Linked DNA regions of Arabidopsis thaliana. The protein of the gene in region 1 interacts with the protein of each later gene in a pairwise test. Each region holds a gene or a part of one and is shown on either strand. Other genes may lie near its edges. The genes, in order: AT3G12130, AT1G12440 and AT4G14490.

Region 1 (11,405 bases):
ATCGTAAGGGGTTTAAGAGAATCTATAAAACTTTTGTTTTCCTTTTATTATGTATTTTTACTATAAAAACCCAATAGGAGTAAAAAATCCAGGAAAGATTCAATAGTAGAAGCAGATTTTTACCCAGAACAAATAGCCAAAAAATGAATACATTAACAAATAACAATTTATGCTGTTTTTTTTTTTTTCAATTTCCACCAACCCACCAGAAAATAAAATAAAATAAAGATCTAAACAAATTGGTCAAAGCAAATCATCTTAGAAAAAAAGAAGAAAAGTGAAAATGCAACATATCGTTTTGTAGACGAGAGAAACTAATCATTGTATGAATGAGAGAGTTCATTATTATTAATGGTGACAGAACATAAACAAACATCAGATTCTCGACCAAAAGAAAAAAACAGAGAAACAGAGAATCGAGACCAGATCTAAGGTTGAATGTAAGGAGTATAAGCAGATCTATCGTGAGCGGAGAAATTCACAGAGCAGGAGCTACTGGAAAGAAATAAGAATCAAAATCGAAAATGAGAAGAAATGGAAGAGAAGCGACGGACCTGGAGATGGAGCTGACGTAGGGGCGATAACGTTAATAACGATGAACACCCTACGAAGAAGAAGCTCCTCCGCAGAATCTCTCTCTCTCTCTGTCTCTCTCTCTCTCTCTCTCTTTTTAATTTGTGAGTGTGTGGCTCTTCTTCTGGTGGTCAGATGGGGAATGGCAAGAGACAGGGCTTTAAATGGACACGGCCCGTGGGTCGAAGGTAGAGAGAGAGAGAGAGAGATGATTTGATGACACCTTTCCCTTTCATACTGGGCCCCCACCTTCTTTTCTTTCCCCTCCTCTCTTATTTCAACCTTTTTAATCAATTCAAAATATCTGGTATTTTTATTTACCGCAAATAACCCATTTTTTACTTGTGAAAAAAATATAACAGTGAACATTAACTTTTTAATATCACGTTCTAATTTACTTAGTTTCACTTTATAGTCGAAAAGTACGTATATTAATTTATAATCACTAGTAAAGTATGGATTGAAACTCAAACTAATCTCTAAAATATGTAGAAATTACCGAATATTGTGTAGTAAATTAAGATGTTTATAATAACTAACTTTAGAATCATATGAAAAGAAAGAATCGTAAGTGATGGGAACCAAACCTTGGTCTTAACTCTTAATACAATACACATGGCAAATCTTTCACCATTATAACTTAACCATTTGATTAACACCAACTTGGTTGGATTCAACTTTTTTATATTTAAGTTTCGTCTCTATTATTACTAGTTTGCCACTTACACAAGTCGTAAGCAGTGGTAGGCGGGGAAAGGGCTAAAAGTGGAAAAGAGAGTTCTTACGTTTGGCTTCTTCTATCATGTGAAACATTAAAATATCTACAGACATTGTGTTGTGGTGGACTGGTGGTCACGTGTATGGATACCCAAACGTGATGCACTTTGGTAGATTCGTGCGGATTTTCTCTTGTTTATGTTTTCAATTGTAATCTTTATTATATTATTAATCAAATTAGGTGGCGGACGGAAAATACAAGTACAAGTTAATGCAATCAATTAATTGGGATGATTAAGTTAAGTCTCTTGCATTGGACTTCTATTTTTCTATCTATCTATTTACCGCGTATAACGACGACACACCTTAATTTCAACATTTTTAAGATCACCCGTCACCAACCATTTATTTTGATCTTTTTCTTCTATCAATCACGGATTTTTATTAAACCATTTTTCTCACAAGAAACCACATTTTTGTTCTTAATAAGTGTTAACTGATCTCGATTCAAACAGTTAGCAAAGACTCCAACATATTCAGAAAATCTTACGAAAATTATATAAGTGATTCACACACATGACATAACGGAGATAACAAGAATATGAATAAAAGGCGTCATACAATCCTAACCACTGTTTCTGAGTTTTGTCAATCATTCTCTTCAAGCTTCCTCCCATCTCAATTCATACTCAGAATTAACCAAAAACTAAACTATTAAAAAAAACACCAAATAGACTTACAATGATAATGAAACTAAAATTGTATTCTCTCATAACAAACAAAAACAAAGTAGGTGAAGATGATATCAGATATCACCACCACTAAATAAGAAACTAGTTTTACCAGCAAATTCTCTATCTGCAAGCAACAACTAGACGATTCCTGACTTGCGTAGCTCTGCTTCCCCATGAGCAAAGTGACATCTATCACCAAATGTACAGTTTCCTTTTGAGAATCTCTCACATATCTTAGTCTTGAAGTTGCTCCCTGGATGTGGTTTCCCTTCAGAACCCATGCCACCACCACCACCAAGACCACCACCAGGTGGTTTCTTAGCTGCTGAATTAAGCCTCCCAATCAAATCTTTTACCATTGCACTCGCTTCGCTTATCTGCTCAAGTGTTCCTTCAAGCACAATGTTCTTCAAGTTTGGGTCTCTCTCGTGATCTTGAATTGATAATTTTACTCCCGTCTGACGACATATCTGCTTTGAACTGACTCCGCCTTTCCCAATGATTGCACCGGCTAAAGAGGCATCAACACTGAATCTGGCAGTGGCTGAGTCACCAAAGTTAGAGACATGGCCAGGCCCAGACTCTCCCCTCCCTGAGAATCGGCCTCCATTACCAGAACCTTGCATGTTTCTGGAAACTTGAGGAATGGGTGGTCCCATATTTGTCATCTGCGATACAGCATTGTATCCTCCGGGAACATAATGCAAGAAATGGCAATTCTCTCCGAAAGGACAGCCAGAAGTACTGCAATAGAAGCATAATACATCAGAGATTTAAACACAATGGGAATAGAATAGCACAAGAACAAACCAAATAGAGACAGAAGAAATAGCATATTGATACAGCAATGATCATTGTGCTATAAGAGAATAAAAATAGTAATCCGGTTCTGCTTATAGATGCGCGGCAATTCCACTAGTAATGCGACAACTTTACCTGACCATAAACAACTATATTATAAACCCAAAATCACTAATACCCTACCACCAAATAGAAGAACAACTATCACAGCTCAAACAAAATACATGTTTTGGTTGATTTTGTTATGTTATAACAACCAGTTGAACTAAATGATTCTCAAACTAGATACGCTTATCTATTCAGATTGAAACATGTTTACATACCTGTATAACAACTAACCACTTCATTAGCATCTAGTATTACTTGGTAATTTCGGGATCAAACTTGCAGGTAGATAACAATTCGAATATTAATTCATTAAGTAAAAGGATTATAACCTGAAAAATTTTGTGCATGGCTTCGATTTGCTTCCTAAACCAGTTGAATATGATTCCATCTCTGTTCCAAACATTAAGTGTTTTCCTTTAGTTAAAAACTTATCTGAAGTTCAATATATTGCTTTTAGAATCCAACATATCATTCATACATTCATCTTATCATCTATATGAAACTTTCAAATCAAAAGATGCATAATGTTTTTTAATGTTTTCAGGATAACTAACCAACTGGACACAAAAACACTTTGCAGAGGAAAAAGGCTTATTCAATCAACAAAACTAAATCCTTGGTATGGTTATAAACTGTTATTAGCTTTATATTTGAGAAGAGGGATTAAAGTAAAGAAATACTAAAACTCAAGGACAGTGGAAGATATAAGCTTGAGACCAACAAAACCCAGTAATTAACATTTAACAATAGTAACAACTTAGCTAAAGCTGATCTATCATCACTCAATTTAGATTTACATCAGATAAAAAAGGCCAGTACTTTTTGCAGTAATCTAGCTAATTAACAAGATAAGTAAGCAAACAGAACACGAAATCACCAAAACAAAGCACCGAGAACGAAAGAAGAAAATTTTGCCTCCTAGTAAATCTCATAACTAGCAAAAAAAAGTCTTAATTTTACCCACAACTTAAGATCTCGAATTTAAACCTTAATCAGAGACAGTGAAACATAAGGAACTAAAAAAGATCGGTACAACAGAATTCCAGTAGATAAAGAGTAAAAGAACTAACCTTGCTTAGACTTCTTGTATCCGCCGCCATTGGAGTTGAATGAGCCAGCTTCAGGCCGTCCTCTCTTACGAGTATCCATGATTAAGTATAGATCCGATACGAGAGTAGAAATCAAATTGACTCTAGAGTCTAGAGAGCGAAAGGAAAAGCGAATCGGAGAAGACAAATCGAAATCGGAATAGGGAAAAAGAGTTAGAGAGAATAAGCGAGAAAATAAACCTAACCCTAAGGTGGTTGTCGTCGAGGGAAAAAGATGAGATTTTCCTCTTTTTTGTTTACTCTTGCCGGTTTTTTTTATTGGAACTTAAACCGGCGTGGCCCAGTGCACAAAATAAGATGTAAACCGAAATTTCTCTGTAAAGGACAATAAACCGGAAAGATTTAGCTTAACGTGGGCCGTGAAGTAAGCGGTGCGCCTGTTTACGATAAGCTAAAATGTCAAATGGATGACGTCATGTTTTCCTTATTTGATCTCTTTGTAACATTAACAAAATGGAACTTTTACCGGCCCATTAACGGCCCACAACTTCTTTTAATGGCACAAAATTTCAGTTCGAAGTTACTGAAATCTTGGGATAATGACTATGAAACTTGCAATCAATAAAAATGTCAGCTATAACTATTCGGGATTTGTGGAAGCATTTGATTGGTTTCTGTTTTACCAATCACAGTTGTAAACAGAAAAAATGTTAAATATTGAAAGAAAAAATGTGGAAGAAACAAAAATAAAACTCAATAAGCCAAAGAGACTCAAAAGCTTAAAGACACTCTTGAATGACTTGATAAGTATTCCCTACAGCTACAAGAGCCAAAAATGCTAAGGCTATTAAAATCAGCAAGGGTTGAATATTCTTGCGAAATGCAACAAGTTGGTCCTTGTGATCCTCCCTAATATGTACCTTGGCCATCACAAAATCATCTTCTTGTTTCTCATGATGAGCCTTCTTGATTCCTTCTTCATGTGCCAATTCCTCAAGCCTAAACAAAACGTCTGAATCAACCAACAAGTCTGAAGCATTATGATCATTATTAAGATCAGTTTGAGGGATCAGTTTAAGGATCGGATATTTGGAGTCTGACGATGAACGCGGGAAAGACTGAGATCGACAAACTCGTTTCCGATTGGGACGACACTTATATTCTTGAAATCATATTGCACCATTGTATTTTTTTTCTTAAGAGAGGAATACCAAAGAAGCTTTGCTTAGGCTTTGGGAGAACAAACGAATGCATTACATGTTTGTTCTTTAGGAATAGACGATAGAAAGGGAATAGGCAAAATATAACTACTTAGAGGGATTAGGCCAAATCTAAAAGAACACGGATTAGTTGGGAAAAAAATGGTGAATATTTTCATTGTCATCTACCTAGTTTCCTTTTTTTTATAAAAAAAATCCTTTTAATATTATCAAATAAAAAATAATACCTAATGAATTTAATTTTATTAGAACAAATTCCATTATTCTAAAAAAATAGAGTAAAAATTGGGAAAAAAAGAAGATATGCGTGGCAAAAAAAGAAAGAGGAAGAAGGTAAACGGGTCAAAGAATATCTACGTTGCTTCTACAATTCTCTATTATTGACAGCTTCTTCTTTCCCCTTTCTCTCTCGACTTCTAACAATCGCATAATCTCCGATCATCTTCTTCTTCTTCTCTCTTCTCCGTTATTCCTCCCGATTCTGCGATTTCTCAGCTTACATGATGACTGGAAACCCGATCCCAGTCAATCTCTCTAAGGAGGGTTCTTCGTCTCCAGGTATTTATAAAATTCCTTCTTGAGCTAGGATTTTGTTTGATTCATCGCTTTCTGTGTTTGATTTTTTACATATTTCCTGCTCTCTATAGCTTTATTTCATCATCGGTCTCTGGTGTCGAATTTGTTTCCGGCTCTTGTCAAGTAGTTTGGGACCTTAATACCTTCAAATCCGTTATCTCGTAGGGATTACAAAGAAATCGCAACGAGCTGATTTAGAAGAATTCGATTGAATAAATCAAACATGCTAGATCGAAGATGAATGAAATCCGCTGCAAATTGCAAGGGGGTTAGTGTTTTCTCTACCTTCTCTTATGTCTTCTGCTATGAATGCATCATCTGATTAGCTCCTCGTTAGCATGTTGATGATCACCTTAAGCCTGCTATGACCGCATTGAAGGATTTGTGGAACTTATTTCTACGAGAAACCAGGTGCTTCTTTTGCTAAACGCAGTGTTTTTGTTATGCAAATTCAGATTTTATTGTGCAATGTAATATGCATGTTATGGTCAAGGATACTTTGAGCATGCATCTCAACAAGGCTACATACACGTTAACCTTACAGTATGCATTGTCATGGCAGGTCTAGTTATCTCTTGGAGGTAAACTCAGCAACATTTACATGGTCAATCATAGTCACAGGTTACACTCTCTAAAACAAATACTTGTGCTTACAACCAAAATCCTACTTTCCATTCCCTAACAAATTTAATTTTCATACATTTTCCTGACACCAATTTAGAAGAAACTCACTATTCCATCTTCTGAGCAACCTCTTTGTCAGCCGAGCACATTGTTTCTTCTTAAATCCAGAGTCCTTTGGGTTTCATGACCACAGAATCCTGAGTAACATACAGCTTTTCTCTCATCCCTGTGGCATTGGATGATCATGCGAATATGGTGGATCTCCATCTGATGAGTTACAAGCAGATAAATCAATTATAGATTCAACATGAGGAAGAAGTATGCAATCGAGGTTCAAGAAGCTGGGCAACTATTCAGCTGTTTACGAAGTTACACTGAAGTGGGCAAGTGTGCGTTAAGAAGAAGACCTATATTTCAAGCTATTCAACTGTTTACAAGTTACGCTGAAATCACAAGCTGAGCAAGTGTGTATTAACTCTCTTATTATTTTTCCTAGGATTAAGTTTGTAATTATGCTTGATATTATCATCATAACACAAAAATTCAATGGTAAATAATATATTATTCTGAGGTTGCAAACTAAACGTAGCGTGCTTTTGTTATTATTACCCATTTCGCCATCCGAAGTATCAGCAAGCCTTGCAATGGCAGCAATGAGTGCCTGTTCATGTTCCTGCATCACAAACTAGTGTTATTGTTCTCTGATCACAACATTATACCACATACAAAAGGTATTAATCTCAAACCTTGAGCATTTTCTTGGCCTTGTCGAGCTCGAGTGGATCAGGATGCGTAGAATCGAAAACTCTCTCCACCTAAAACAAAAATTTCATGTTAGAGCAGGCATTGAGCTTAATGGGTATACAGCAGATAAAAAAACACGTACCTCCTTCACAAGCGAGTCTGTGTTGAACAACTCAATATCATCAGAGGAAGTTCTCCGCCCACCACTACCATTCTGTTGTGTTGGTGGCGGTACAAGTTCCCTTCTTGGTTGATGAATTCTTGGTCCTCTCCCTCTACCACCATGGATTTGGCCTCTTCTGTTGCCACGGAAGGATGCACTTCCATGTCCAATGTTTAAAGCTACCCCACTCTCCTCCCCATCCCATCTTATGTCTTCCGGTGGTATCTAAACAATAATAATGTCAGCTCTTATCAAGATCATCAGTATGTACAGACACCAGATCGCTTACGAAAACATATGCAACCACAGGCAAAGAATATTAAGATAATGTTCATGTAACGATTACCTCCTTGAGATCAACCCATTCCCACGTTTCATTAGCTGCGTGTATATCATACACCAAAGCATGCCGACCCTGTGAGAATAAAACAAGTGCGTAAATTGCAAATCCAATAGATAATCAGAGACTTCTATAAAAATTGGCAGGGACAACAAACCATCTATCTACCCAATTAGCAATCTACACTCAATGAACAAAAATAGTACCTCATCTGCATTGTACTGGGTTATAATTGCTTCATAGAAGTGGTTATCTTCAGGCCATTTTGTCCACACTTTTCTTCCGATCAGAGCTTCAGCAGATTCATTTCCTGATATGCCACTGGATACCAGACGATTATTGAATGACCTATTTCCAGTCGCACCAATTGATGGATTATACTGCATCTCACAGATAATTGGTTAAGAAATAACATAAAACAACACAATGTGGCTAACCAGAAGAAAGTATTAAAGAACCATCATTGGTGCAAATACGGCTAGAATATAAGACTTACAGATGGAAATGTTTTCTGTTTCTTTCGGGCAGCTGAGAAAGTGGGACTAGGAAGAACATCAAAAGGCTGAATAGTTGCATGTCTAGTAATTTGGCTTGCGCCTCCCTGTCTCCAATCTCTGGTACAGTTCCATGATACAACATATATTAAAATAAACGAGATTCATGATAAATTTTGTTTATGCTGGTGCAAATAAACAATCTAACCTTATCCTCTGGATAGTATCATCCTTATTGACCCTACTGAGAAGCTCTCGATGTTCATCATCAGATACTCTCAATTCTTTACGCAATTCGGTTATCAAGCTTTCTTTTTCCTAAATTGCGGAAATGGTACAACAAAATATATTCCAGAGATTAAGTCGTGAGACTGACAGAACACAATCAATGCAAAGGAGGAAGAGAGTACCCAAGAAATCGCATCAGACTGCGCTTTAAAAGCCCTTAAAACAGCGGTATATGCTTCCTGCTCAAGTTGATGAATTTGTGTCTCCATATCACTATGTAGTTTAGTTTCAGAGAATTTCCATCCAAACGAAAGCTATCCCTTTTAGAGATTTACAGTCATGTGGAAAACAGTTGCTATCAGTAATTAGAAAGCTGATGATAACAAATTTATCAGCCAACTACTGAAGAACTTTAGAATTGAACAAAATCCAAAGGAAACATAAAATAAAGGCTGCAGAAGCATAAACAAGACAAGACAATTCCCCCTAATTCACGAAACCACGGAAGCTGAACACTTTTTTCGAAACCCTAAATCCTAACCTCGGTTAACCATTCCCTAAACCCTATTTAAGACTTCCGTGCCTAAAACTAACAGTAAGGGTGTTGAATTAGGTAAGAACCAGAACGGCCTAACTCAAGCTCAATTCGCAGATTAGCTATCACAAGGTTCATCATCGAACGCCTAACTCAATAATTGCTCGAACGAGATTCAAAAGGGGCAGAAACGTTTAACATACCTCTGTTTTCGAAATCTAGAGGAAACCCCCACAAAAGGGTTTATCTTGTCGACCGATTCAGATACGAAACCCTAAAACGCTCGAATCGAAACTTGACCCGCAAAAAGCAATTAAGGGTTCGAAGTGCGTTCGGTGAAACGGAGAATTGAGGGGATTGGAACGAGAAGTTGAAAGAATTGGACAAAAAGAAATGAACTTTCCTTCCCCTCTCGAGAGAAGCGATATTTTTTTAAGCGAAGGGCACAGAGAGCTACGATCGATTTCTCCGGGACTCAGATGGGATGGCGTCGGAATCGCCGAACAGTCGTTTTAAAGACGAAACGATTCGTTTTGGTATTAAGATCTCTAAGGCCCACCAATAATAGCAACTTCGGCCCATATAGCCTAATATCTTTTGACTTTTTTTTTTTTTGGTCACACAAAGTCATATTGTTTTGTATATCGTTCCTGATTATATATGGTTTGTTGTGTATGGATGGTTTCTCTGAAACTTTGTAAAGTCTAAATCATGTTTGTGATATATTTCAATGATTAAAATTATGCTTGTGATATATTTCACCAACTAATCAATTTTGTAAAACAAAAATTATTAAATTAAAAATTTTAGTATCGATTTTTAATCCTTACTTTGTCAAATCTATTGCTAGATATAACAACTAAGAAACTAATAAACTTTTATCAGTGTACGTTGTTGATCACTAGCTAGCTACTACATAACGAAACACTTGTATATATGTGATCACTAGATGCCCCCTTGCGAGACAAGGGGTTAAGTTAGTTGAATTGAGACATATGATGATATACTAATCCTAACCTGCAATACGAGAACGAGACTTACGTAGAACCATGCACACTGAGATTATAGAGATACACTTTGAATATCTCAACATCATTCTTACCCTTTTCTTGATATTAAATTCTCTTAATAAGGAACCTCTGACTTGGCAGGCGGTAATGATTATTAACACAAACATCATATGGTTAAAACGTTAATTATTTTTTAATTCGCCAACATTAGACCAATTCAACAAGCCTTAAGCAGAGTCCCACAAAGACAGAGGTTGTGAGAGTAGGCATATGGTTCAAAGGTCTGAAGGCGACCGCCACTTGGGATTTTCCCGCAGAGACTATTGTAGCTCACGTTGAAACGCTCGAGACTTCGTAGGGTAGTCAACACCCGAGGAATCTTACCAAAGATTCGGTTTTGGCTCAGATCCAACGTAAGTATGCTCCTAGCGAACTCAATCTTGGAGATATCGAACTGAAACATGTTTCTCGACAGATCCAGTTGTCTTGTTGTTTTGTTCCGTCCGAAAAACATGGAACCATCTCCGGTTAAACTGTTTCCCGACAGAAACACAGCGTTGAAGTCGTGTTTTGACAATGACTCCGGTATTTTCCCTGAAATGGAGTGTCATAAAACCCGGGATTTATAACTTTATTAATAATAAAGAATGTTAAAAATGATGGTTACCTGAGAGCTGATTGTTAGACAAGTCGAGTTCAGGGACGTTGCCAACAAAAGAACCGAAAGAGTTTGGTATAGAACCGGTTAGCTTATTGTCGTGGATCTCAATGGCTTCAAGCTTGGGCATCTGAGATAGCGAACCGGGAATTGGACCGGGAAATTGGTTAAAGGAAAGGTCCAAGAACGTGAGGTTCTTGAGGTCGCTGATGTTATCAGGAATCGGACCGGAGAAATTGGTGTGTTTTATAAAGAGGAGGTTGAGACTCTTGAGCATGGTGATCGCGGGTGGGATATTTCCGGAGATTGTACTGGCGGAAAGGTAGAGGTAGGTGACGCGGCCGTCAGTGCATTCCACTCCGATCCAGCCAGTACAACAGCCGGTTCGGGGGTTCCAGGAGGAGAGGTAGGGAGGGTTGTTAAGGGACTTCTTGATTTGAAGGAGGGCATTATTGTCATTTGGGTTGCAACTGTAGGAAGATGGGAGAGATAAAGATGATGGAGAAGAAGATAGAGAGATGAAGAAGGAGATTCATTGTGATCATGGGTGTGGTTACTTTGAGCAGTTAAACAACTTGTGATCTATATAACAGAGACTTCAATGGAACACAGCTGTGTAATGTTACTGATTTTGTACAGTTTGGGTTCTACACTACTCCTAAAAGTTCTAACGTACAATAACCTTTTTATAACATAAATTCAATTCATCTCATAACTCATAAAGCATGGTGCATATATATATTTTTATTTAGTTGTTTTAACTATTTGATACGATATTCAATAATTTAACCATACGTTCGTCACTGCACCACTCAATTCTAACACTTCTGT
Region 2 (10,633 bases), on another chromosome or scaffold:
TGAAAACTAAAAGTCTACATGTTCATTTGTTAAGTTTTATAAAGAAAACTGTAGTGCACTGCTTTTCTCTCTTTGCTTTTTGTAAATTGGTTGATAAGATCCGAAAAATGGACCCAATATTGTAATGTAACCATCAAGAAGTGAAAGTGAAAGTGAAAGCAACAGTTTACCCACACCAAGGACATATGTTCTATCATTTCATAGTCTACCTCAACTCGTCGGTTGCAGTCTTAAGTTTTGATATCAATTTTTGTTTGTTACAGTTTTTCATAGTTTAGACAATTTAGAAACCGTATTGAAAATCAAATCCAGTTTCATCTAGTGAAATTTCAGATCAAAATCAGTTGTATGCGAAGACAGTATATAAAAAATTTGGATGGATACTTCTTTTATAAAAATAGATCAGATGCAACTAGTGCACTTGATTGTGGATATTGACATTGTTCAATACACACCATTCAAAGATCTGCATTGGCATTGACTATTCCATCTTTTTGCTAAAAACTTTTGATGGGTTACACTTTAAACATAACCCCAACGAGATGAAGATCATACAAGCACAGGGAAATAATCTTATGAGCATCATTGCTAGGGAATATGTATACACAAACGACAGAATGTATTCAATCTACAGTCATCGACTACAACACCGAATATCCCAACTAGTTCAAACAAATCGATCATGGCCAAAACCGAGCCTCAAGTCTTTAAAGTTTCTTAAGCTATCAAAGCATACTGCCACTACCAGGCAAAAATCACTGATTTCGTTCAATCACTGGGCACTATCACCTAAACATCTCTTAATCTGCCATGGTTCGATATAGGTAAACTACTTTGACTACTTCATTGGATCCACCATAAGCTATATAAAAACTCCACTTACTCTAAGTCCCACAACTCTTAAGTGAATCAAACTTTGTCCAGGTAAGAAGAACACTACTTTCTCCAGCTAAGACAGAGAAAGCAAAATCAATGACTCATTCAATCAAGGACACTTAACACCTAAACTAAAGACACATCTAAATCTTCCATGACTCGATAAAGATACCCTGAACAACATCTTCAGCTTCAGAAATTTCAAGCTACATACTTTATCCACCATAAGCTATAATGCTATATACAAACCCCAACTTGTTCGTCCACTATAAACAAACCAGGGGAATCCACCATAAGCTCTATACGACATCTTTAGTTTCAGAACTATCAAGCTACACACTTTTATCCACCATAAGCTATTTACGACCCCCAACTAGTTCATAAGCCTCATAACCAAGAGAATCCTATATCTGCAAACAATTCAACTTCTCCAAGTAAGAAGAAGTAAGCTGGTACCAATAAGAACACAATTTCATAATATAACCAACACTTTATTACAGAACAACAAATCCAATGTTGCAAAACATGAAACCACATAATAGCAGAATCTAAGGCCTTTCCTAAGAAACCCTAAAAGCAAATAAAACCATAATAAGAGCAGAAAACAGAGAGCCAAACCACCAACATCACGAGACTTGAAAATAAAAAAACAAAAGAGAACACAACAGTTTCTTCACCAATTCATATCCTATCAACCTTATCAGCCTTCACCACAGGATTAGCTTTAGCAATAGCTTCTCTCGCAACTCCTTTGAAATCGAATTGGCACTCGTGACTCTCTGGATATCTATGAGTTCCACAGAAAGTGCTTCCACACCTACACTTGAAACCCGTCACGCCAACTTTCTTGTTACAGCTCAAGCATCTCGTAGCCGTCGATTTCGGTGGATCCAACGGAGCAGCAGCCGAATCACCCCCTCTCGTTGATGAGGAAGACGATCCAGATCCGAGGACGCCTTGAGTGATTTCTTGGCTCTGTTGTGGTTGAGTTTTGGGTTTATTAGGGTTTAGAGATTTCTCGACGGCGGCTTTAGCGGAAGCGGTTTGTTCCTCCGTGGCTCGGATGTCTCTGTAGCATTTAGAGCAGAGGTTCATGTTCGATGGAGATCCGAAGAAGCCACATCCTTTGACGCAGAGCTTTGGCTCTGAAGGAGAGAAGCTTGTGCTGTCGTTTTGCTCAGAACCCATAATGGAAAGATCTCCCAATTCCAAAGTCGAAATCTTACTGCAAAAGAAAAGACAACACAAATCGTGAATAACAGATGAAGAATGAATTTGTGACTTTAGGTTTAGGGTTTTTATTTATGATTCCGTCGAGAAAATAAAGGGAAATTGACAATATCGAAAGATTTAGAAAACGGAGATTCTTGGCTTGTTTCTCAAGCGAGAAAGACTAAAATTATTTCTCATTTATGACTAAAATACCCTTGGAACTCTTTATAAAGTCGAAGAGTAAATGCGTCATTTGTCAACACTTAAGACCAGGTCAGCGTCTATCTCACAAAGACCACTTTACCCTTCCGGCGCAAAAAAGGACAAAAAAGAGATAGATAAGAGTTGTTTAATCTTCGCCGTCAAAAACTTAAATCGAATGGTTCAAGAATAGATGAAGGATTCAAACGAAGAACACAAATCTGCATATCGGCACAGAACAAAACCAATAAGATATTTACCTAATTCCCACCCAAAACTCTGCTTTAGTATGTCGGCGACAATTCTCTCGTAAAGAAAATCTCTGACGGTATGTATCACTGAAAATTTCCGATAGAAACTTCGTGATTTGATCGGAGATGGAGACCGTAACCGAAACCTCTTAGCTTTCGCCAGAGAGAAATTAGGACAGAACAGAAACCAGACTCTTTTAGTTCTTTTGCATTTGTCTTTGTGGTCAAATGGTTTATTCATATGCGGTAAGGCGCACGGAAGATTTAATACATCCCTGATAATATTCGTTCGATGAAACAATCGGAGAGTGATGACGCCATTGTTTACTAATCCAACGGTGGTGATTGGAAGTTTTTTGATGAGATAAAGTGGATATAAAATGGGTGGGGTTATCAACTTTTTATGGTGTTTGTGGATTACGATAAAGTTGGTTCGAGTTCGTGAAGATAATCGGTTTTATATGAACCGGGTTTGGTTTGTGGGGACATGCTTAGCTGGTTGGACGGTGACGTAACAGTAGGATAAAGAAAAAAGGTGGCGCGTTTGTCCCGACGCGATTAGTCCATCGCTCTTTTGATTTGATCGGAATGTGATGATATGTTGTTCCAAATGTACTCTTTCTTCCTTGGGCCTTTTCAATTATCTCTTTCTTTTCTTCGCTAAAACGACCGGATTTTAAAAGTGGTCAGGTCTTTTCTCACTGAGTTTACTTGCAAATATCAACATGACTAAATCGTTTTAATTTACGTAAAGTGTTTTGGACACCACTATATCTAATCTTGAGCTATAATTTGTTTATGCTTGTCCTTAAAATCGAGACTAATTCAATTTCCATTTATCTGGTTTGGAAACGACTAATCGAAATCCAAAATCATCGAACGCTATCATTCAAGACGTTATATTAGCAAGCGACTCTCACTCGCGACTGCATCCTTTTTTTTGGATCCAATACTGACCATAAGGTCCACAACCAAATTAAATTTGATATAGTTTGTGAATTGTTTATAGGGTCCATAAGCTTCTTAGTTCTTATGCTCCTCTTTGGTATGGTATTAATACTTCAAAACGTAGCTATCTAATCTATATATCATCTATCGATATGTTCATTTTTACAGGGAGTCTTGTTCTTATATTTTGCTTACAAGTATCAACTTTGGTTGCGTTTCATTCTCTTGTTCGATCCTCTCGTTTTCTTTTATGTTATGCTCCGTAATATATATAAATTGCCTTCAAGCAACTAAATTTCAATAATTAAATATGTTACGTATTTCTTCTGTCAGTACGATGTATGTACGCACCGTAACGGCAAAGCGAAAATAAAGCGCCGGTCTAAAGCAACTCTGCTTACACATTTATCGGTGGTTCGTGACGGAGCAACAGCTATTAGCCACTCATATGTCTCCACATGTTTGACTACGACACCGGTTTAATAAGTTGAAACTAAACCACCTAATTATAAGGATATCATTTTTTAAAAGTTTTTAAAGCTAAGAACGGAAACGAATAATAAAGATTCTTTCTTCTAACCCCATTCGCTCTCTCCGATCAACACAACATTTGATCTAACGGTTTAATTTTCTCGAGAAACCGAAGGAAAACAAACAGAGGTGCATAACGATTCTGACGGAAACTTTTGAGATATTTTTTTTAGAGCCAAAAGGATTCACTTTTTTTGGTTTTATCTTCGCATCGATCTATGACGTACAGCAATGGCGTCGATGGGACGGTGCCTGAGCTGAAATTGAGAGTCGAAGAAGATTCCGATAATGGTGATTATCTGAAATTGAGAGGAGGATCAAATGAAGAAGATGAAGGATCATCGGCGGAATCATCGAGATGTCCGATAGGATCGGTTACTTCTGTCTGGTTCTGGGTGAAATTGATCTCCTTGGTCGTTTGTTTGGGTTCATTGGCCTTTGTTATCATCAAATGGGTTGGTCCCTTTTTGATTGAAAAGGTTCGTTTTTTTTTTGTCTCTCGAAGATCTGATGCTTATTGGTTACATTTGATTGGATTAGGGTATGCATAATGATTCTGGTTTCTGCTGGGTTTTTAATTGTTGAAAATTAGGGTTCTTGAATTACATGTATGAGTATGTGTTTATAAGGAAGGTTATTCATTTATCATCATTAATGTTGGTGTGATTTGTTTCAGGAGCTGATTCCATTTATAAATTGGGTGAGAAACACATTCAGCATACCGGTTCTCGGTCTTCTACTATTTGCCTCAGTGGCATTGTTTCCAAGCATTCTTCTTCCTTCTTCCCCTTCCATGTGGATGGCTGGTCTTACATTTGGTTATGGAAAAGGGTTTCTTCTGATTTTATCAGCTGCTTCCATCGGTGTTACTCTTCCTTTCTTAATTGGACATCTCTTCCTCCACAAGATGCAAGTAAGCATCATCATCCCATACTCTTTGTTCGGATACTTATTATTAAGCTTGTACCATGAGATGATCAATTTGGACTTTTTTTCTTTCTTGTCATTTGTGCAGGAATGGTTGAAGAAATACCCTAAAAAAGCAGCCATACTTAGAGCTGCTGGTGAAGGAACCTGGTTTCATCAGTTTCAAGCAGTCACACTAATCCGTGTCTCTCCATTTCCTTACATCATTTACAACTACTGCGCTTTAGCGACTGGAGTTCATTATGGTCCTTATATCTTAGGCTCTCTTGTTGGAATGGTTCCTGAGATCTTTGTCTCAATTTACACGTACATGCCTCTCTCTCTTTCTCTATGTCTCTTGTCTCAATGTTTAAGGCATGTTCTGCAGAATCTTAAGACTGGTGGTTTTCTGTTTTGGGATATTTGCAGGGGTATAATGCTAAGGACACTAGCAGTTGCATCAGACACGAGACACACACTTTCGGTTGTGGAGATAGTCGTGAATGTTCTTGGCTTCTGTGTAACTGCGAGCGCGACTATAGTCTGCACAATCTATGCGAAGAAGAAGCTAAGTGCGATGCAATCAGAGGACGTAGAGACATTACAAAATCCAATACTTTATTAACTCTTTTCACCATGACCACAACATACCATCATCTAACACGATCTTGAAATTGATAATATATAATGTTTTTTTTTTTTTTTGTTATTCTTATTCATTTGAAAATGAATATTTATGTCTTTTTCTCTTGTATATATGATATGTATCAATTGAATTTTGAAAATTTCCAATGTATATTTATTAGATCATCTAAGTCTTTTTCTTTCCTTGCATATAATCCACCTTATGTATCATGGAACAATGTCTTGTTGGGTTTTGTTCAAAAGTAAAAACAAAAATGATCCATGAAGACTGTGTGTCCTCCTATGTTCCATGAAATTTATGTATCAAATGATCTTTGGAGCTAACTTCGATGCTGAGTGTCAATGATGACGTCATCTGTTTCGGTTTTGTTGACAGAGTAGTCAACGCGAGAACCTCTGTGATGTTTGGGTTTAGTGCCACGTTATTGGGCCGTCGGACCAACTGCGCCAACTTCAATTTCATATGGATAGGTTTGGATCAATTTCATATGGATCATATGATACGTTTGATGTATTTAACAAGGAATAATTTCCTGGCAATTTTTATTACTTGGTCTGAATAATGATGTAACGAGTGAAGAAAATATATAGCGTATCTTAAAATTAAGCATAAGTATTGAAAATCATCGAAAAAAGGAGCAAATCTGGCTTCATATAGTGAAAATATTGCTATGAAAGTCTCTGATAGACCTTAAAAAAAAAAAAAAGCAAACCCGTTTACTATATGAGCCATGTCTTGCACACCAGTCTCAAACCACAATAATATCTTCAAAACAATCAAGAAAGAAATGGAAAAAAAGGAAGAAGAACAAAATGATTAAACAAACTCAGTAAAACAGAGAGAACAAAAGCTACAGAAACAAACAAATAACAGAAAGACGTTTACTTTTGGTCACTCACTTGTCTCTGTCTCTAATTCTCTTCCCTTTTTCTAAAACCCATTAGTTTCCAAAAGTTTGATTTGGACCTCAACTAATGAATTAACCCCAAGCATTTCACAAAATGAAACCTACTCTCACTCAATGATCTCATCATAAGCCATGTAACATTCAACATTGCCTAAAAATAACTCATTCATTCTTACTTCACAAGTAATTTATCTTACTCCAAATAACATCTCATCATTTGAATCGAATATTAAATGTACAGTTCTCTGTTCATCATGCATTCAATATGTTTGTAACCACCAATTGAGATTGGGGACCATAACTACTTGTTTTTTTCTTCATGAAAAATTGAGAATTCATATACTCCATTTTTGTGAAAAGAATTAGGTAGGGATTATTTAATGGCAAAAATGGTTGGTGAAGGAGAGAATAAATGCTTTGGTAAGAAGTACAGACAAGCCAGACACTCTCCTCCATTACATACACATATAGACGATTGAACAAAGCAGGCACGTGCTTCTTCTTCATTTGGTGGAAGCCAGAGAGTGTGAGAAAGACTGAATTTAATACATTCACCAGTTTACTTTCCAGCCAAGGCACACACTCTCTTCTCTATAATGCTTAGATGAGACTAGCCTGACAACAAATTCCTTCTTCTTTTGTCCATTTTTTTGTTCAAAAACTTGCAAATACTCTTGAATCTGTGATTCTTTCTTCTTTTGTCGTTTCTTGAGAATGTTGACTTTGGTCGGTAAAATTTTCTAGCCGTTAAGGATGACTAAGTAAATGCAGAAGCAGCTCAAAAGTTCTCACCTTTAGCTCAATCCCAAGAAAAATCAACGGTTTTGTTTTATAAATGCAGCTACTTGTTCTTGGTTCTGGTGTTAGAGAACAAATCCCAATTTGGAGCTCGGGTTTAATTTCGGGTTCGGGTTTGGATCATGAACCGATAATGTCAATTGGGTAGGATCCGTTTATGAGCTGAATATGAGAAAGGTTCATCTTTTTCTGGTTTTGGTTCATTTCATCTACATTTCAACTTCTCGCTCTGATTCCATCAGTGAACGAGACATTCTGCTTCAGTTCAAAGGCAGTATCAGTGACGATCCATACAACAGCTTGGCTTCTTGGGTTTCCGATGGTGACCTCTGCAATAGCTTCAATGGAATCACTTGTAACCCACAAGGTTTCGTGGACAAAATCGTTCTGTGGAACACAAGTCTCGCCGGAACCTTAGCTCCGGGATTGTCAAATCTAAAGTTTATTCGAGTTCTGAACTTGTTTGGCAACAGGTTTACAGGTAATTTACCGTTGGATTACTTCAAGTTGCAAACTTTGTGGACGATTAATGTTAGTTCCAATGCGTTGTCTGGTCCGATTCCGGAGTTTATTAGTGAATTGTCTAGCTTAAGGTTTCTAGACTTGTCTAAAAATGGTTTCACCGGAGAGATTCCGGTTTCTCTGTTTAAGTTCTGTGACAAGACCAAATTTGTTTCACTGGCTCATAACAATATCTTTGGATCAATCCCTGCTTCAATTGTAAACTGTAACAACCTCGTAGGATTTGATTTCTCTTACAATAATCTGAAGGGAGTGTTGCCGCCTAGGATTTGTGATATTCCTGTGCTTGAATATATCTCAGTGAGAAACAATTTGTTGTCTGGTGATGTCTCTGAGGAGATACAGAAATGTCAGAGGTTGATTCTTGTTGATTTAGGAAGCAATTTGTTTCATGGATTAGCGCCTTTTGCGGTTCTTACGTTCAAGAACATAACTTATTTCAATGTCTCTTGGAACCGATTTGGTGGTGAGATTGGAGAGATAGTTGATTGCAGTGAAAGTTTGGAGTTTTTGGATGCTTCGTCGAATGAGTTAACCGGTAGGATTCCTACTGGTGTTATGGGTTGCAAAAGTCTCAAGCTTTTGGATTTGGAGTCTAACAAGCTGAATGGAAGTATCCCGGGAAGTATTGGGAAGATGGAGAGCCTCTCAGTGATCAGATTAGGGAATAATTCTATAGATGGGGTGATACCAAGAGATATTGGAAGTTTGGAGTTTCTACAGGTTTTGAATCTGCATAATCTCAATCTCATTGGTGAAGTTCCAGAGGATATATCCAATTGCAGAGTACTTCTTGAACTGTAAGTTTTAATCGATGTTTTCGAGAATTTATCGGTTCTTGTTACTGTGTTTGAATCTCACATTGTTGTTAATCGTTTGCTTGTTGGTTGCAGAGATGTTTCAGGGAATGATTTAGAAGGAAAGATCTCTAAGAAGCTATTAAACTTAACAAACATAAAGATTCTTGATCTGCATCGAAACCGTCTGAACGGAAGTATCCCACCTGAACTTGGAAACCTCTCCAAAGTCCAGTTTCTTGATCTTTCACAGAATTCGCTTTCAGGGCCAATCCCGTCTTCCCTCGGGAGTTTGAATACTCTAACGCATTTCAATGTCTCCTATAACAATCTCTCTGGTGTTATCCCTCCTGTTCCAATGATACAAGCTTTTGGATCTTCTGCATTTTCGAACAACCCTTTCCTTTGCGGTGATCCTCTTGTAACTCCCTGCAATTCACGTGGAGCTGCAGCAAAATCCAGAAATTCTGATGCTCTAAGCATTTCGGTTATCATCGTTATTATTGCGGCTGCTGTCATCCTCTTTGGTGTCTGCATTGTGCTTGCTTTGAACCTAAGAGCTCGTAAAAGGAGAAAAGATGAAGAAATACTTACAGTTGAAACCACTCCACTGGCGTCTTCGATTGACTCTAGCGGTGTGATAATTGGAAAGCTTGTTCTTTTCAGCAAGAATTTGCCTTCAAAGTATGAAGATTGGGAGGCAGGTACAAAAGCTTTGCTCGACAAGGAAAATATAATCGGCATGGGATCGATTGGATCAGTCTATAGAGCATCTTTCGAAGGAGGAGTTTCCATTGCAGTGAAGAAGCTTGAGACCTTAGGAAGAATCAGAAACCAAGAAGAGTTTGAGCAAGAAATTGGACGGCTTGGAGGTTTGCAACATCCGAATCTGTCTTCTTTCCAAGGTTACTACTTTTCCTCAACAATGCAGTTGATTCTCTCTGAGTTTGTCCCTAATGGTAGCCTCTACGATAATCTACACCTAAGAATTTTCCCGGGAACCAGCTCAAGCTATGGGAATACTGATTTGAATTGGCACAGAAGATTTCAGATTGCTTTAGGAACTGCAAAAGCGCTCTCTTTCCTTCACAATGACTGTAAACCGGCGATTCTTCATCTCAATGTTAAGTCCACCAACATTCTTCTAGACGAAAGGTACGAGGCAAAGCTATCGGATTATGGGTTAGAAAAGTTTCTTCCGGTTATGGACAGCTTTGGTTTGACTAAGAAGTTCCACAACGCGGTTGGGTACATTGCTCCAGAGTTAGCTCAGCAGAGTTTGAGAGCGAGTGAGAAATGCGATGTGTATAGTTACGGTGTGGTTCTTCTTGAGCTGGTTACAGGTAGAAAACCGGTGGAGTCTCCATCGGAAAACCAAGTCTTGATCTTGAGAGACTATGTGAGGGATTTGTTGGAGACTGGTTCAGCTTCTGATTGTTTTGACAGAAGGTTGAGAGAGTTTGAAGAGAATGAGCTGATTCAAGTCATGAAGTTAGGACTCCTTTGTACGTCCGAGAATCCACTGAAGAGACCGAGCATGGCTGAGGTTGTGCAGGTTCTTGAATCAATCAGAAATGGATTTGGATCATGATGAAGCTTTTTCCCTTTTTTTGAGCAAAGATTGCATAGGAAATGTGCAGATAAGTTTATTCTTTTGGGATTTTCCAGTTTTAGATTTACGTTTGTTCAATGAAATTGTTACTCTGGTTTACACAATACCACACCGAGAATACTACTATTAAGGATGAGGGAAAATAGATCAGGATTACAAAGTTCATTCTACAGGCGAGATCAAACTCCTATAGTTATCATAAACTCATACTTTGTCACAAACACATTTAAAATGTTGAGTTTAAAATATCAAATTGTGATCATCTCTCTGGACTTGAGTTTAGAATATTCACTCTCAGTATCTCTTAGCAATACTCTGATTTGGAATCTCATGGCTCCTTACGACTCTTTTGCGAATCCAATTCAACAACATTGAACCGGTTTAGCTGGTTAACTTACTAACTCAGCGAAACACTGCGTTTTAATA
Region 3 (10,681 bases), on another chromosome or scaffold:
GCCAATGATCCCAGAGTGAAGGCCACAAGCCAATGCGACACCTCCTACAACAACCCATTTCCAGTCCATTCTCAAATGGTCCCGTTGTCTCGCATATTCCATTGCTCTGCTTCTGTCTTCATCTCTTGAAGATGATTCTGCAGAATCCATGTTCAGTTTTGTAGTGATTCTTGCCATTTGGGCGATCCGAGATAGAGATGAGTCTGATTTTCTGGCGGATTGGTACGCTCGTAAACCAGAGTTTAGCTTCTTGACAGCTCCCCACATGCCATGACGGACACCTAACTTTGCTACGTCTTTTGGGATGCCCATGTCTTCGTAGTGGACAAGGGAAACTTCACAAGCCGTTTGCTGTCCATCTCCTTTTCGGGATTCAACTGCATTTGTTTTGAATTTGCTTTAAAATCAAAATCTATGCCCGTCTTAAAGAAAAAAAGACTTGTATATCAAAAGGCTTACCCGCTCTGATAACCCAACTTGAGAAATAAAGCTCAACACGCCTTGGCTTATCACGCTTTGGTAGAGCTGGATAAGGAACTCCCTACAATATTGAACAGGTGTTAAGTATGGTTCTGAGCTTTGAGCTTTGTTTAGAGCTGGATAAACCTAACAAAGAATACAACCTTATGCATTTTGTGAATAAGGCGCTTATCTTCAGAACTAAGGCGCTTATCTTCTTTGATATTTCCATAAAACGCATCTCCTAGAGAAGTAGAAGCATACTCCATGCAATATCAAAGAAGATAAGCGCCTTAGCTCTGAGCTTTGAGCTTTGTTTCAGCATAAAAACTTAATAGGATGTTTAGGATAAACAGATGTTGGATACTATTTGATCAATTTTTTTCACTGATAAAGTAATGATGCAATGAAACTTAATAGAACTAGAAACTAAGAGACAATGGTCCCATGAATTATCTCCAGACATTCAGAATTGTCAAACCTAAACTTTGGTGTTTTGTCCCCTACAGAATTCTGGCGTAAACATTTAGAATTCTCCAGACATGTGGAATGCTACACACTTGTTCTGTGGAAGGCAAAAACAAGTTCTTGTAGCATGACATTACCTTTGTGACACAATAATACTTCTTCCCAGACTCCCATATTCTCCGGCCAATGATATACTCTCGGTCACTACAGAAAAAAGGAAACTGCAAGCAAAAGAAATTAGTAATGACAACAGTTTTTAATGTGGGAATTGTTTATTAAGATGACCAAAGTATCAAAAGTCCAGAAACCTTTTTTCTCCACTGAACAATCATTGTTCCTGTCTGAGTGTCCTCCTCCAACGTTTTGAAGTTGGCAAGCATGAAATCCCATTTAGGTCGAAACTCATCATCCCAGAAGAAATCCCTAACAATATCTGGAGTTGCATCCTCAAACACAGTCCGGCTGCGATAAATAACAGGACCTGTCTGATAAACAATACGACCTATCAGGCTACAAACACAATTTGATCAAATGTTTCTATCATCTAGTATTTAAGAATTCCCCATTTCATTATAGCAAGAACACAGTTTCAAGTAAAATGTCACAAAAATGCCACACAAAGGGGTAAATGCAACAACGCATCACATCGTGCCCAAAAAGAACCAAAGCTAAACAAAGAAACACAATGTATACTACTAGACACCTAAAAATTGATCGTCTATAGCTATCCTTAGAAACATATCTCCCTCGTCATTACCAATAAACCTAAAAGCAGTGGTCTGATTCAGATGTCATTCAAATTACTCTAAAGAATTCATTTTTTCGACTATTCCGCCTACTACTCAATGACTTAGCTTGTTCCTTGAGCTACATCATTCAGGCGTAGCATAAGGAAACGGATACAAAGCAAGAGTATAAAACTTAGATTACCTCAGGCTCATGACGCCAAGCCTGGTAGCTCATATTTGGAGTAGTCTTATCCATCATAGATTGCCATTCCAAAGCTGCATTTCCAACTTCAAGCAGCTGAAGCAGATGCTCTAAATCATTCTCTGTCACAATATCCTCTGTCACCGTCCCGTTATCGCTACCTCTGCAAATATAACCAATCCATAAATCAACTAATGCAAAAAAAAAAAAAACCATTCTTTTGCCAATGCTATTGCGAAACTAAAAGATAATGCAAACACTATATACCTTATCTAGCTAAATTAAAAGTAAACGTTACGTTTTAAAACAGAGAACTAAAACTTCTACATCTTCCAATAATTAAGCATTACACTAACCTTGAGGCCAATCCTGATTCATCATTATCCTCAACAGGCGTCTGCGACGAAGCTGAACCGGTCGCCGATTTATTAGCTCTGGTGTCATTCCTTGACCAGATGGTTCGGCAAACGGAGAAAGCAGAGAGAGCGGTGAAAGCAAGCCAAAGCCGACGAGCACCAAACCCAGGCGGTGCGGTCCATAAAAACCGAAGCTTAGAACGAAACCCTAAATAGATCAAACCGGTCCATCTTGGACGCCAAGACCATCCGATTAATAACCCGATCATAACGGCGAGCCAAATCGGAACTGCGCATAGTAAGATGTCGACAAATGTCTCTGTAAAAGAGGGATTCTTAAAGAAATTCAATAGATCAAAATAGGTCTCATCCATAGCGGATTCTCTAGATTCGATACTTTACTCCGATTTGGATAAAAAAATTTCCCGAGAAAAAATGTCAGATTCCCGAAGGAAAATGGGATTCGAAGATCGCTAAAAATTTAAGCGACATGAATCAGGAGAATCAAAGACGAAGACGAAGAAGAAGAAGAAGGGATAATAATAATTTTTTTCTTTTTATTTAATTGAGTTTGGTGATTTAATTGATTAAATCATAAAAAGAAAAAAATGTGTTCTGATATTATTTGCTGTGCTTGAAACGACGTTGGCGGGTGAAAGGAAATGATAAGGACAAGCATAGTGGCGATGACGTGGCGCTTTCGTTGACCGACAAGTTATATCCCACGCGTCAGATCTTAGCGCGTCGTGTTCACTACGTAGAGGAATATACTCAAAAATCAATTATTGTGTTAGCATTAGAAGCACGTTTTGTTGATTTGCAACAATTGTAGATAAGAGCCTAATTAATTTATAGGAGTAAGGTTAAATTTGGTTGATTTCGAATATAAAAGGGAATTTTAACAGTGGATATCCAAATGATGAGGTGAGATACACGCGAGGGTAAAGGAGCGTGAGGGGAAAAAGGTTGGAAAAAAAGTGGATAAGGGAGAGATAAGTTTGCTGAGAGATTCACGTGTGTTGCTGGAAGTTTGGGTAATCAATAATGCCAGTTGTTTAGCCAATAGTAGCTTTTAGCCTTGAAATTGTTTTATCGTCGAAACGATAAAAGCCCATTTAAGGCCCATTAATAATTGGAGCGTCAGACAAATCAAAATTTCAAAATTCGCATTTGGGAGAGAAACGGTAACAATGGTTACGCCATCGTTGAGATTAGTATTCGTCAAGGGTCCAAGAGAAGGCGATGCTCTAGATTACAAGCCTGGATCTACGATTCGTGTTGGTCGAATCGTTCGTGGTAATGAAATCGCAATTAAAGACGCTGGAATCTCCACTAAGCATCTTCGGATCGAATCGGATTCTGGGAATTGGGTAATACAAGATCTTGGATCTTCCAACGGTACTTTATTGAATTCGAATGCTCTTGATCCAGAGACGTCGGTAAATCTCGGAGATGGCGATGTTATCAAACTAGGTGAGTATACATCTATTTTGGTGAATTTTGTGATTGATGATTTTCAGGAGAAGAAGCTTACGAGGAACAATAGGCGTCAGGCTAATGCGAGGAAGCGAATTAGGGTTTTAGAAAGTATCAATTTGGGGGATATCACTGAGGAAGAAAAGGGTTTGGATGTGAAATTTGAGAACAAGCCGAGTTCTAGGGTTAGGAAAGTTAGGAAAATCGAGGATTCGGAGAAATTAGGGATTACTGATGGATTACAAGAGGATCTGGTGGAGAAAAATGGAAGCTTTAGGAATGTTGAAAGTATTCAGAGTTCATCTGTAAACTTAATTAAGGTTGAAATGGAGGATTGTGCAATGGTGGAGGAAAATTTAGGGAGGGGATTGAAGAAGAGAGTGAGCAGTAAGGCTACGAGGAGCAAGAAGATTGAAGAAAGTGTAGGAAAAGCTTGTTTGGGAGTGGTTAATGTAGAGAAGGTAGAGACTTTAAAGGAGAAGAGGATTACTAGGGCTACAAGAAGCAAGAAGATTGATATTGTTGGAGATTCTTATTTGGAATTGGACATGGTTCTAAATCGAGCCAGAAAGAACAAAGGGAAGAACAAGAAAGCGGATCAGAAGCCGTTGAAGAGCTTTGAAAATGATGAGGTTACTGATTCAGGAGAGCAGGGTTTAAGCTGTCATGTTGAAGAAGATATGAACAATGAACTTGATACAGATCTAAGAAAGATGACATTAGGAGCATTGTTCAGTTTTCTGGAGGGTCATCTGTCAAAAGAGATAATTCACAAGACAGAAAATATGATTGAGCCCATGCGAAGTAAAACTCAGAGAGTTCGTGAGTATATTTCAGATCAAAGAAAAGTTCAGGCTAAAGCGTGTATGTGTTGAATTGACAAAGTGTCCAACTGATATGGTGCACACTGATTATTGGTATAGCTTCAGTTCATGGAATAAGAAACACATACTGACAGGTACAAGTTTCTTATGAAGTAGACCTTAATGCTGTGGGATTGGCTGTGTTGCTTAGAGTTTTGACTGCATTGATTTACTTGCATTTGCTTTACGTGTGAGACAAAGTAAACAGTGAAGTGCTGATGTTTAAGTAGGTTTCATAAGTCTTTTGCCCACTTTATAGTATATGTTTCAAGGACATCCCTGAAGACTTATAAAACAAGTTCTGTTCCATTGTGATTTTATCTTAGCATATTGATGTTTGAATACTTGATCATTCATTTTACCAAATGTCAAGAAGGCTGACGTCTTTTCTCTAGTCTTTGTTTCCTTCTCATGTGGTCAAAGGCAAATGCAAGTTCTTCAGAAATGCCATGAAAAAAAAGTTGTAAAACGAGTCTAGATATCTAAATCTAGAACTTTAAATTTCTGTGAAATGATGAAAATAAATTTTCATAGCTCCATTTAATTTTTGTACCTTTACCGGTTTGAAGTTGAAATGATAGTGTTTGCCCTTTGGGTCCCTGGAAAGACCAAAGGTAAAATCTCATTAACTAAGGTTAGTTAGTTAGCTCTTTCACATGCTTCATCTTATTGTTTCATCAACATATTTTTAAGTAAGAGATAAGGGTTTTGCTTTTACATTAAAGGCTCTCTTTTTTTTCAAGTTCACATGCTAAACCAACTCTTTCTTTTTTCATCCCTATATGAATAGCCTCATGGTACTATTAGCCTCTAAAAGACCACAATTCCACTAAAAACATAACAATTCAATAAGCAAGAGTGTACTCATCTTCTTTCTATTTATGGCTCGGAACAAGCTCGAGTTCCCTCTTGATGCTGAAGCCTACGAGATCATCTGCAAGATAGGCGTTGGTGTTAGTGCTTCGGTCTACAAGGCCATATGCATTCCGATGAACTCAATGGTAGTTGCTATCAAAGCCATCGATCTTGATCAGTCGCGGGCTGACTTTGACAGTCTTCGCCGTGAAACCAAGACGATGTCTCTGCTTTCTCATCCGAATATTCTCAATGCTTATTGTTCATTCACCGTTGATCGATGTCTCTGGGTGGTTATGCCATTCATGTCTTGTGGCTCTCTTCATTCGATCGTCTCTTCGTCTTTTCCAAGTGGGTTACCAGAAAACTGCATTTCCGTCTTCCTCAAGGAAACTCTGAATGCAATCTCGTATCTTCACGATCAGGGTCATTTGCACCGTGACATCAAGGCAGGTAACATTCTGGTAGATTCTGATGGATCCGTGAAGCTCGCTGATTTCGGAGTATCTGCATCCATCTATGAACCCGTGACATCTTCCTCTGGAACAACATCTTCTTCTTTAAGGTTAACTGATATAGCGGGAACACCGTATTGGATGGCTCCGGAAGTGGTTCATTCCCACACAGGGTATGGTTTCAAAGCAGACATTTGGTCTTTCGGGATAACAGCGTTGGAGTTAGCACATGGAAGACCTCCGTTATCTCACTTACCGCCGTTGAAGAGTCTGCTCATGAAGATCACCAAAAGGTTTCATTTTTCTGATTACGAGATCAATACGAGCGGAAGCAGCAAAAAGGGTAACAAGAAGTTCTCAAAAGCTTTTAGAGAAATGGTTGGTTTGTGTCTAGAGCAAGATCCTACTAAAAGACCATCGGCAGAGAAGTTGTTGAAGCATCCTTTTTTCAAGAACTGTAAAGGACTCGACTTTGTGGTCAAGAACGTGTTGCATAGCTTGTCAAACGCAGAGCAGATGTTTATGGAGAGTCAGATTTTGATCAAGAGTGTTGGAGATGATGATGAAGAAGAAGAAGAAGAAGACGAAGAGATAGTGAAGAATAGAAGAATCAGTGGGTGGAATTTCCGTGAAGACGATCTCCAACTTAGTCCAGTGTTCCCAGCTACTGAATCAGACTCTTCTGAGTCCAGTCCACGTGAAGAAGATCAATCAAAAGACAAAAAGGAAGACGATAACGTCACAATAACGGGGTATGAACTCGGTTTAGGTTTGTCGAACGAGGAAGCTAAGAACCAAGAAGGTGAGGTTGTTGGGTTTGATAAAGATTTGGTGTTAGAGAAACTGAAAGTGTTGAAGAAAAGTTTAGAGCATCAAAGAGCAAGAGTGTCGATTATAATCGAAGCATTGAGTGGGGACAAGGAAGAGAAGAGCAGAGAAGAAGAGCTTCTAGAGATGGTGGAGAAGTTAAAGATTGAATTGGAAACTGAGAAGCTAAAGACCTTGCGTGCTGATAAAGATAGTGTTTTGGGTTAACTATTCTAAACTTGTTAATATTTTTTTTCTATATGCTAAAATTATATAAGTGGCATGACATTACGATCAATTGTTTTCAATTTAACTCGTTTTATTTGTCAGTTTAGAATGGCTCCAAATTAAGTTTTGGTAAACAAGTTATATATTCACCAAAACAACATATAAATATTTCCTCTTCATAAAATTTAATAAAGAACAATAAAGTAAAATCACAACAACAAAATGTAAAATTGATATGAATTACAAATACATATTCCCTATTTACTGATGTACTTCTTAGAATCAAATTTACTTTAATAGTCTACTAATTTGATTGTATTTTGCATCTTCAAACACTTTCATCTCGAAAGAAAAAAACTTAATGTTTTTTTTTTTTTAATGTAATGTTAAATTAGATTCAAAAGAAAAATGTCTTTTGTACAACAAGTGCAACGTGAGTTTGAAAAAGGCTAAATACATTTTAGATCAAAGAAACTAGTATAAATTTCTTGTTGCAAACCAAATTTGAAGTCCCGTCTCATGTCTTCTTTCTCCGCTTGTGTTCAGTGAAGAAAGTCGATCTCTTACTTGCTTGTCTATCCATCGGATTAAACGCACCGGTGGATTTGGTTGTTCGCCATGCCGCCGATTGTTACGTTTCCTCCAGATAGTATGAATCGTTGCTTGGAAGACATAGTGAGCTATGAACCGCTTTGTTCGATCTTGCCAATGACCCGAAGTGGCTGCAATCAAGTCATTCCAGTGAGTAGTATACTTTGCTCCATAGATGTTCCTTGTCAGAGCCTGCCAAATTTCTGAAGCGTAAACACAAGAGAAAAAAAGGTGATTTCTAGTTTCCAGCGTGTGATTACAAAGAGCGCATCCTGTGGAGAGTCCCTGTTCCAGCTAAGCATGCGATCTCCTGTTGCTAAACGATTGTGAGCCGCCAACCAGACGCAGAAAGAGAACTTGGGGGTCCCTCCTGCAAACCAGACGCTCTTGTGCCAAGTGACTACAGGCGAAGGTGTGCGAGTATGGTTCCAAGTATCTCGTGTTGAGAAACGTGGCCGATAAATATCCTTTCTCCCTTTCCAAAGAAAAATGTCCTCTGCCATCACTCTGTTTTGTTTCACCAATAAAGTTCTTGTTCAATGTTATTTAGAATTGCTGCTCGATGCGTACGTGAGCTCCTTCCGTCCCATGCCTCTGCAAGCGTCTTATGCTTACTAATCCCCATATCAATTTGGCCACGTTCGCCCACGACGTCAATCAATCTGCCCATGGTTGACCAATCATCATACCAAAATGAAGACCTTTCGCCATTTCTAATATCAACCTTAGAGAAATCTTTTGCAATGTTTCGGTATTTCAACAACTTTTTCCACATCCAAGAGCCTTGTTGTGCTGATCTAAGGGACCAGAAAGTGTTGTGCTTTAGGAGGTGGGTCTTAATCCACTTCACCCATAGCTAATCACCATGCGAGACCATTCGCCAAATAAGTTTCAGACAACATACATCATTTGCCTCTTTGATTGACCGCAGACCCAATCCTCCCTCTTGTTTTGGTCTACATATTGTATCCCAAGCAATCTTAGCCTTCTTAGTACTTAACTCTGGTCCTGACCAAAGGAAAGCAGAACAAAGCTTGTCGATTTCCCGAATACACTCACGTGGAAGCCTGAAAGCAGAGAGCCAAAAATTACATATACTCCATAAAACCGAACTGATCAAATTTAGACGACCCGCGTAGGACAAGAACCGGGCTGTCCATGTTCCTATTCGTCGTTTTATCTGCTCAAGAAGCGGGTTGTAGTCCTGAGATGTGAGTCTCTTGGTGACTAGAGGTAACCCGAGATACCGCACCGGGAGACATCCTACTTCAAAATGAAATTGTTCCTCAAACTCTTGGCGCACAGTATCAGAAATTCCTGCAAGATAAATTGTTGTTTTCTCCATGCTAATCTTGAGACATGATTGTTTTGCAAAACTGTCAAAGACCTCCACAATACCCTCAAGGGATCGAAGTTTCCCATCTGTGAGCACCATGATATCATCAGCAAAAGAAAGATGTGTTAAACCAAGATTTTTACACTTTGGATGGTATCCAAACTTCCTTAAGCCTGCAGCTCTGTCAAGCTTCTTGGATAGAACATCCATGACAATGACGAAGAGATAAGGAGATAGAGAACAACCCTGACGCAGCCCCCGTGAACTATTAAAGTATCCAGCTAGTTCCCCGTTAACCTGAACCGAGAAAGATGCTGTGGTAACGCAAAGCATGATCCAATGAACAAAAACTTGAGGAAAATCAAGAGTTAAGAGGACATTCTTGAGGAAGGTCCATTGAACTGAATCAAAAGCCTTGGAGATGTCAATTTTGATAGCGCAGCGTTCTGAGACTGAATCTTTATGATAGTCCTTGACTAACTCCGTTGCGAGGAGCAAATTTTCGATTAATAGGCGATGTTCCTTCATATAACTTTGGTCCTTTACAATGATTTTGAAGAATCTGGAAACCCTATATCAGAAATTCGTCGATTCTACATGAAACTCTACCCGGCCCTGAACGTGTTGCATAGCTTGTCAAACGCATTTAGTGATATCAAAATCTGACTCTCCATAAACATCTGCTCAAAATCAGATTTTGATATCACTAAACGTATTCTCAAAATCATTTATGCAGTAAACAAAAATATCACTAAACTTTAAAACCAACCCAAATAAGCAATCTGGGGGTTTGATTATGGGCTAAAATAGATGAATACGTTGGGCACAAAATACTAATTCCAATATATTTCATCTTGTTTCTACAAACCTGACTAACTGACCACCCAATCGGTTCTAGCTAGTCCCAAAACTTTGGATTTTGAACTTTGGTGATATTTATAGAATCATAAACAACAGTGGGATACCGGAGTTATATATGAATGTGAATTTGGTCATAGCCGATAGCCTAGTAGTCTAGTACCATAAATCCATAATACGTAATATAAAGAATAGTGTACAGTTCAACGGAACGGAAGAAACAAAAAAAGTAGAAATGGAATAGTAATTTACACATTGACAATAAAATACCACTTATATAACAAGTTTTTTTCAACTAAGTTTTGTAGGTAAACTGACCATCTCCATTGGGAGTATCTCATAAGAGTTTCTCACAATTAAAAAATTAAAAATAAAAAAAATGAAGGAGAGAGAGTGTACAAAGTTTCTCACTTGAGAAACTCCGAGATACTCTATACAATTCATCATGATAATTCTCATCTCACTATTGGTTCAATTTTTTAACAAAAATACTTTTTTAATCAAATAATCAAATTATAATATAATATTAATATTTTTTTTGTTTGAGAAATTTTGTGAGTTTCTCATTGATGAAGATGCCCTAAAATTACATAATTAAGCTTTTTCAACTAAGTTTAGAAGATAACATACGATGAGACAAAAAGAAAAAGTTTATTATGTGAATAAGATATCATGAACAAAAAAAGAAGAAGATGTGGAACCACATTTTATGTATTTCATTTTAATTTATACTACTAAATGTTGCAGTTTTTATGTAAAAATAAAATAATTTTGAAGAGAGGGTTGCCCGGTATTTACGGGAGGAAAAGCATGTACACGTGGGAGATGTTGTATCGGTCAAAGCTTCAGTTTCCTCTTTTGTCTTTTTCTTGTTTCAGTCTTTTTTTGCGCCTTTCCCATATTTCTTTCCTTGGAAATTTAACAACAATCTTTCCTTTTGTTTATTGTAAGCTTTTTTAAAAAATATATTTTGACTATCTAATCTCTATAAATTTTTCA

What was found.
Region 2: the proteins of AT3G12130 (region 1) and AT1G12440 interact in a two-hybrid assay, tested with the Arabidopsis thaliana proteins (one large-scale study listed by BioGRID).
Region 3: the proteins of AT3G12130 (region 1) and AT4G14490 interact in a two-hybrid assay, tested with the Arabidopsis thaliana proteins (one large-scale study listed by BioGRID).

The regions. Positions count from the first base shown.
Region 1 is NC_003074.8:3,862,325-3,873,729, forward strand, and holds AT3G12130 (KH domain-containing protein / zinc finger (CCCH type) family protein), read right to left. Parts: upstream 4,358-11,405; 5' UTR 4,083-4,357; coding exon 4,004-4,082; intron 3,324-4,003; coding exon 3,263-3,323; intron 2,769-3,262; coding exon 2,162-2,768; 3' UTR 1,747-2,161; downstream 1-1,746. Other genes in the region: EML1 (Emsy N Terminus (ENT)/ plant Tudor-like domains-containing protein), read right to left, coding at 6,797-7,075, 7,149-7,217, 7,289-7,534, 7,656-7,724, 7,856-8,029, 8,146-8,263, 8,352-8,461, 8,554-8,640.
Region 2 is NC_003070.9:4,240,259-4,250,891, forward strand, and holds AT1G12440 (A20/AN1-like zinc finger family protein), read right to left. Parts: upstream 2,944-10,633; 5' UTR 2,550-2,943; exon of another isoform or gene 2,102-2,549; 5' UTR 2,065-2,101; coding exon 1,558-2,064; 3' UTR 1,163-1,557; downstream 1-1,162. Other genes in the region: AT1G12450 (SNARE associated Golgi protein family), read left to right, coding at 4,238-4,498, 4,696-4,932, 5,035-5,252, 5,355-5,550; AT1G12460 (Leucine-rich repeat protein kinase family protein), read left to right, coding at 7,445-8,598, 8,692-10,186. UniProt on the Arabidopsis thaliana protein: May be involved in environmental stress response.
Region 3 is NC_003075.7:8,326,297-8,336,977, reverse strand, and holds AT4G14490 (SMAD/FHA domain-containing protein), read left to right. Parts: upstream 1-3,398; 5' UTR 3,399-3,403; coding exon 3,404-4,564; 3' UTR 4,565-5,175; downstream 5,176-10,681. Other genes in the region: AT4G14500 (Polyketide cyclase/dehydrase and lipid transport superfamily protein), read right to left, coding at 1-377, 460-541, 1,065-1,148, 1,236-1,412, 1,858-2,020, 2,214-2,587; AT4G14480 (Protein kinase superfamily protein), read left to right, coding at 5,434-6,897.